Linked DNA regions of Sus scrofa. The protein of the gene in region 1 purifies or fractionates together with the protein of each later gene. This does not show direct contact. Links are inferred from orthologs where the notes say so. Each region holds a gene or a part of one and is shown in the gene's direction. Other genes may lie near its edges. The genes, in order: HERC5 and ISG15.

Evidence for each region.
Region 2: the proteins of HERC5 (region 1) and ISG15 purify together in Homo sapiens (affinity purification with western blotting; 3 studies listed by BioGRID, with this or other methods). This does not show direct contact. The link is inferred for Sus scrofa from reciprocal best matches to the Homo sapiens genes HERC5 and ISG15.

What each region holds. Positions count from the first base shown.
Region 1 is NC_010450.4:130,581,056-130,584,870, reverse strand, and holds part of HERC5 (E3 ISG15--protein ligase HERC5), read left to right. Parts: intron 1-696; coding exon 697-918; intron 919-2,042; coding exon 2,043-2,134; intron 2,135-2,387; coding exon 2,388-2,518; intron 2,519-3,815.
Region 2 is NC_010448.4:63,361,546-63,364,821, forward strand, and holds ISG15 (ubiquitin-like protein ISG15), read left to right. Parts: upstream 1-1,655; 5' UTR 1,656-1,731; coding exon 1,732-1,734; intron 1,735-2,136; coding exon 2,137-2,637; 3' UTR 2,638-2,666; downstream 2,667-3,276. Other genes in the region: uncharacterized protein LOC110261384, read right to left, coding at 3,218-3,276.

The sequences.
Region 1 (3,815 bases):
AGGAATCCGACTAGGAACCATGAGGTTGCGGGTTCGGTCCCTGCCCTTGCTCAGTGGGTTAACGATCCGGCGTTGCCGTGAGCTGTGGTGTAGGTTGCAGATGCGGCTCGGATCCCGCATTGCTGTGGCTCTGGCGTAGGCCGGTGGCTACAGCTCCAATTCAACCCCTAGCCTGGGAACCCCCATATGCCACGGGAGCGGCCCAAGAAATAGCAAACAACAACAACAAAAAGACAAAAAAAAAAAAAAAAAGATGTGGCTTAAACAGCAGATGTTCTGGAGGCAGAAGCCCAGTTCACAGTTCTAGCAGATTCGGTGTCTAGTGGGGGCTGGTCTTGTTAGAGGTGGAGACGCCAAGCGAGCTCTCTGCGGTCCCTTGCGGTCCCTTTCCAAAGGGCGTTGCCCCCAGTCACGGAGCTCCGAGGTCCCGAGCTCATCTCGTCCCCCTGCAGGGGGGGTTAGTTAGGTCTTCGACCTGGCATTTTCCGGGGAGGAGACACAGACGTGGGAGGTGAGGGAGTGTAAGCGTTGCTGCCCAAGAGGGACGTGCTTGTCGTTGCTGGGACTGCGGCGTGAGATCTCGGTGTGGCAGGAGGGACTTTCGAGACGGTGTCGTCTGGGAGGCGGACAGGGTGCGGGGGGCTGGCTGCTGCCTTTTAAACCCACTAAGACGGCCTTTGCTCTCCTCACGTCCAGGTGGTGAGCTTTTTGCGTGGGGAGAGAACCTGCACGGCCAGCTGGGCGTCGGAAGGGGGATCGCCTCGACCCCCACACCCCAGATGGTGGAGCATCTCTATGGGGTCCCCTTGGCTCAGGTCTCTGCCGGCGGAGCCCACAGCGTGGCCTTGTCCATGTCCGGAAACGTTTACTCCTGGGGAGGAAATGATTTTGGACAGCTGGGCCTGGGCCACACTGACGGTACGGACGCGCGCTTTCCTCCTCGTGTCGTTGCCACGTGTGTCTGTGACTTGAACCCAGGCCTCCCTGTCAAAAATGGCTCACAGCCCCGCTTTGACTCGCACTGTTCTCGGGCTTCAGGGCACACTTGGGCTAAAGGACCTGCCCCGTGTGGCGGTCAGGCTGTCACTGAGACAGGTGTCAGAGCCGAGTGGGAAAAAAAGGGGACACAGCCCTCACCTGGGGACCTCGGCACCCCTGGGCTGTGATTCCCACTTTGGGGGTAACTCGCTGCCCGGCCTCCCCGGGTCGCTTCCCTTTTCTCCAGGTCTTACTTGCTTTCTGGGAAGTGACGCGTTTGGGTGAAATGACTTTCCAGGTCCCCGTGCACTGACCTGTCTATTCATACTTAGGACTGTCGTGTGACAGAAGGCTACTCACATTCTGTGTAGGGAGTCCCCTAGTCTCATCTCACTCGATAAGGTATACTGACATCTGTACACTCGCTCAGGTAACACACCCTATTGAGCTCCTGCTGCAAAGCAGGCGGCAGTATTTCTGATGACCCCAAGCCCCTTGTTAGAGATGGCAGGTGGGGCAAACTCCACGGCTTCATCAGCTGTGATAATATTACACGCCCCCCCACCCCGGGCTGGGGCTCAGACCACAGGCCCAGGGCTCCCTCGTCAGGAGAGCACATCAGTCAGTGCTGGAAAAATACTCGGAGGAGAAAAAGGAATCGGGCCATTTAAACTCACTTTAGCTGAACTCTAAGCACTTGGGCAAGAAAATAATCATGAACTCGGGAAGCGGGGGCGTGAGGCCAGGACACCGTGGTGGAGAATTGGAAAGAAAGAACGTGTCCATTAGGAGGGCCCTTCTGGGCGGGCACTGGAGTTAGCAGATGGGCTGCAATTGAAGCTAATCCAGCCGGGCTAAAAAGAGACCACCGGGCTCGGGGGAGAGGCTTGACATCTCCACCTCCATGTTGAGTCTGGCGTGGGCTGATGGACAGCTCCTGTTGTCCACGTCCTGGGAGCGCCTGTGCTGGGCTTCGCCGAAGTGGTTTGGGTATTTCCTCTGGAGCTCCAGGTGGGATTCTGCCTCGCCTTCTGGGCCCTTGAACTCTTCTCTCCCTGGCGTAGATGCAGATTTTCCTTCCCGTATCGAAGCACTGGACGGTCAGCACGTTGAATTTCTCGCTTGCGGAGCCTCTCACACGGCCCTGCTCACAAAGGTGCGTGCGCCTTTGTCTCTCCCACGGCAGCACCTGAAGACCTGCCCCCGTCACGGTGGGAAAGCACTCGAATGTGGAGGTGGGGACACTTCCGGGGGGGAAGGTCAGCGCTTCCCACGTGCGGGATGGTCCTGCTAACGGCGGGGCTTTGCTTTGACGGTGGTTTTTATTAATTACCCACTGATGCGTGGGTATCCGGGGATATTCTGTATTGTATTTCTCTGGCATCTGATACGAAGTTCTCTTGCTCTAGGGTGGGCTGGTGTTGACTTTTGGTGATGGAAGATGTGGGCAGCTCGGACACAATTCAACACAGAATGAGTTAAGACCCCGTTTGGTGACTGAGCTTGTTGGGAAGAGAGTGACCCAGATGGCGTGTGGAAGGTAGGTTGTAAAGTGACAGCGCACGTTGATAAAATAGATACCGTGAATTTAGAGAGCTAGCTGAATAAAATTTCCGTCTGTTTCTTAGATTGAGATGAAATTTCAAATACTTTCAGATGGGTGCAGATGCTTAATTTACATTATTAAATAATCATAATAAATCTGTATTTTGGTATCCATATTTGCTTTCATTAATTTTTTTTATTTTTTTTTAATTTAAAAAAATTTTTTTTTATTTTTTTTGTCTTTTGTCTTTTTGTTGTTGTTGTTGTTTCTATTTCTTGGGCCGCTCCCTCGGCATATGGAGGTTCCCAGGCTAGGGGTCCAATCGGAGCTGTAGCCACTGGCCTTCGCCAGAGCCACAGCAACGCGGGATCCGAGCCGCGTCTGCAACCTACACCACAGCTCACGGCAACGCCGGATAGTTAACCCACCGAGCAAGGGCAGGGACCGAACCCGCAACCTCATGGTTCCTAGTCGGATTCGTTAACCACTGCGCCACGACGGGAACTCCCATTAATTTTTTTTAAATGAGCAGGTACATTCACTTTTTTTTTCTTTTCTTTTTTGCTTTTTAGGGCTCTATCCGCAGCATATGGAGGGTCCCAGGCTTGGGGTCCAATTGGAGCTGTAGCCGCCAGCCTACACCGCAGCCACAGCAACGCAGGATCCGAACCGCATCTGCGACCTACACCACAGCTCACGGCAATCCCGGATCCCTTAACCCGCTGAGCGAGGCCAGGGATCGAACCTGCATCTTCATGGTTCCTAGTCAGATGCGTTTCCTCTGCGCCACCATGGGTACACCTGTATTCACTTTCTGTTGCTCCCGTAGTGGAAAACCTTTGTAACTGTTCGAATGTGCTCTCATCTTTAAGAAAAATACCTTATCATATATTGGGGGAAAAGTAAACAAACATGAGTTAGAAGGGGTTATTCACTGATATAATCATCCTTTCTCACAAACTTCTCAGGGGTCAGCATACTTCGTTGCCAGTAAGTCTTTCAGAGTGACCACCCTGTAAGACAGTCTTTGCTGATTGGTATAGAATATTCTGAGAAATTTGATTTCTACAGATTTTTCCATCAAAAGTAAAGTAACTCAAACTCCTTGATTTACTATACTGTTTTCTTTCTTTTTTTTTTTTTTTTTTTTTGTCTGTTGTTGTTGTTGTTGTTGTTGCCATTTCTTGGGCCGCTCCCGCGGCATATGGAGGTTCCCAGGCTAGGGGTTGAATCGGAGCTGGAGCCACCGGCCTTCGCCAGAGCCACAGCAACGCGGGATCCGAGCCGCGTC
Region 2 (3,276 bases), on another chromosome or scaffold:
CCCCTGGCTACCACCGGACAACTTTGAGTCTCCATGGACTGGCCGCGTGTGGCCATTCCACAGAGTCACACAATATGTGACCTTCTGTGTCTATCTTCTTTCACTGAGCACCATATTTTCAAGGTTCCCTCACAGTGTAGCCTGTGGCAGTGCTTCACTCGTTTTTATGGCTGAAGAGTGTTCCACCCTAAGGATGGGCCATACTTTGTTTTTGTTTTTTTGGTTTTTTTTTTTTTTTGTCTTTTTGCCATTTCTCTGGCCGCTCTCGCGGCACATGGAGGTTCCCAGGCTAGTCGACCGGCCTAGGCCAGAGCCACAGCAACACAGGATCCGAGCCACGTTTGCAACCTACACCACAGCTCACAGCAACGCTGGATCGTTAACCCACTGAGCAAGGGCAGGGACCGAACCCGCAACCTCATGGTTCCTAGTCGGATTCGTTAACCACTGCACCACGACGGGAACTCCAGGATGGGCCATACTTTGGTGAGGCCTCCACCTGCTGATGGATTTGGTTCCTCCCCCCACCCCATTTCTATGACTCCTCTACTGTGAACGGAGTTGCTGTTAACATTTCTGTGCAAGCATTTGTTTGAACACCTGTCTTCGGGTCTCTAGGGCCTGTGCCCAGAAATGCAATTGCTGAATCACATGAAAATTCTGTTTAACATTTTGAGGATTGACTAGACTGTTTTCCACAGTGGCTGCACCACTTCTCATTCCCATCAGCAATGTATGAGGATTCCAATGTCTCCACACCTTCACCAGCACTTGTTACTGTTCTCTTTTTAATCGTTGTTATTATTATTGTCATGCTAGTGGGTGTGACATGGTATCTCGCTGTGGTTTTGATGTGCATTTCCTTGATGGCCAGTGATGTTGAGCATCTTTTCATGTGGTTGTTGGCCATTTACGTATTTTCTATTTTAAACTGTCTGTGAAGTCTTTTGCCCAACTTTTAAATGAGTTGTTTATCTTTTTGTTGTTGAGTTGTAAACGTTCCTTATGTATTATGGATACTAGGCCCTTAACTGACACATGACTTGCAAATATTTTCTCCCATTTTGTAGATAGTTTTTTTACCTTGCCAATAGTATTCGTGAGTTCATTTTCATGGAAAATAAAAGACACATCTCTTTCATTTAAAAAATCTGAATAAAAAACCTGAATAAATATTGTCATAAACCAATGGTTGTTATCTCTGGCTTGGTTGGACTGTCACTATGTTTTGCTATTTCTGAATTAACCCCGGCAATGATTTCCAAGGTTCCTAATTTTGCAAACTGGTAAATGGAAAGTGAAAGTTGCCAATTGTTAGCTCTCGGTATTATGATGCTATTTGTGCATCGTGAAAAGGATGTGAGGCACTGGGCGTGCCGGGGGTTTCTGAACACGTACCTCTGGAGGCGGGGATGCTGTCGTGTGCCTGGCTGGCAGCTGGAGAGACTCTGTACCCCCTTCCTCAATGTCCTGTCATTGCTATTTGTTTTTTCCTGCCATGCACTCCGGAGCCTGCCTTGGGAAAAGGAAACCGAAACTGAAGCCGATTTCGATTTCGGCTCCCGCGGTGGTTGGCTCCTGGACTCCGCCCTCTGACGCGGCTGCTCAGGCTTTTTAAAGGGCTGAGCCGCCACGGCTGAAGAGCAGCGGCGAGCTGAGCGGCAGCGACGCAGAGCGCACAGAGGCAGCGAAGCAGAGCTCACAGAGGACCTGTCGCCAAAGCCCACGGCCATGGTGAGGGGGGTTTGACAGGTGGGGCAGGTGGCCTCTCCCAGGGGCAGAACACCTATGTGTACCAGGCAGACAGAGCTGCTCAGGGCCCGCCAGGTTCCTAAGCATGAGGGGAGGGATGGGGCTCCTCCTGACGTCAGGGTCTGTGTCCTCAGAGGGCTGAGATCCCTTGGGGTCGGCACAGGGAGGCATCTTAGCTGGTGAAGGGAGGTGACATGATGGTTGTGGGTGGTGGCCATTCTAGAAATGCCCCCTTGCCCTCTCCAGTGCCCGGGGTCCCCCTCCTGGAGGGTGGGGAGGGTAGGGAGGAGGGAGCAGCACTCCTGGGCTCTAGGAGCTTTTGCCCCACTATGTGGTGGCCCTGGGACTGGTGACAGGGTCTCTGAGCCTGTGTGACGCCCACAGGGTAGGGAACTGAAGGTGAAGATGCTGGGAGGCAAGGAGATCCTGGTGCCCTTGAGGGACTGCATGATGGCATCGGACCTGAAGCAGCAGATCGCCCGGGAGATCGGTGTGCCCGCCTTCCAGCAGCGTCTGGCTCACCCAGCCGGCAATGTGCTTCAGGATGGGGTGCCCCTGGTCAACCAGGGCCTGGGCCCAGGCAGCACAGTCCTGTTGATGGTGCAAAGCTTCAGAGACCCACTGAGCATCCTGGTGAGGAACGACAAGGGTCGCAGCAACGCCTATGAGGTCTGGCTGACGCAGACAGTGGCTGAGCTCAAGCAGCAGGTGTGTCAGCAGGAGGGCGTGCAAGCTGACCAGTTCTGGCTGACTTTCGAGGGGAAGCCCATGGAGGATGAGCACCAGCTGGGGGAGTATGACCTCAAGCCTATGTGCACCGTGTATATGAATCTGCGCCTGCGGGGGGGCGGGACAGGGCCAGGGGAGCACCTCACCGAGTGCTAGTAATAAAGCTGTGGCAAAATTGAGTGTAACAAAGCGTCCATTCTTCTCTGGCCAGCACCATCTCGGTGTCAGTCCTCCATTCTGCACCCATTTTGGTGAGACAGGAGGTGAGATGGAGGAGGGAGTGGGATGAGGGGACCCAGAGGTTGCTGGGTGGTCACCAGACTAGAGTTGCCAAGTTAAGGGACAAGCCTTGTGGGATCAAAATGGTGCCCCACACACACCAGAGAAATCGAAGATGTGTCCCCACATCTTTGGGAAATTACCTTCTAGAGAAATAAAAAGAGGCACAGCCGCTAGAGCCCATCCTTGTCTTCCTGCTGTGCCGTGGTCAGCTCTGCAGCCCCACATCTGGGTCAGCAGATAGCACAGGGAGGAGAAGGCCTGGCCAGGTGAGTGCCCCTGGAAGCAGTGGGGGCATGAGCCCCTGTGGCCTGTCTGGGTGAGCTGTGAGGGAAGCCAGCCTCCCCCGTGAGCCCCACAGGAGCCAGGCTGAGTCAGCCCTGGACATGGGGGAGGCAGGAGCACAGGACGTGGACCTCTCTGGGCATGGCTCTGAGGACCTCTGCTTTCGGGCTCTTCAGGGCATTTGGCTGAAGACCCAGAAGCCTCCTTCCTGGTCTGTGGGGGTCCACAGCT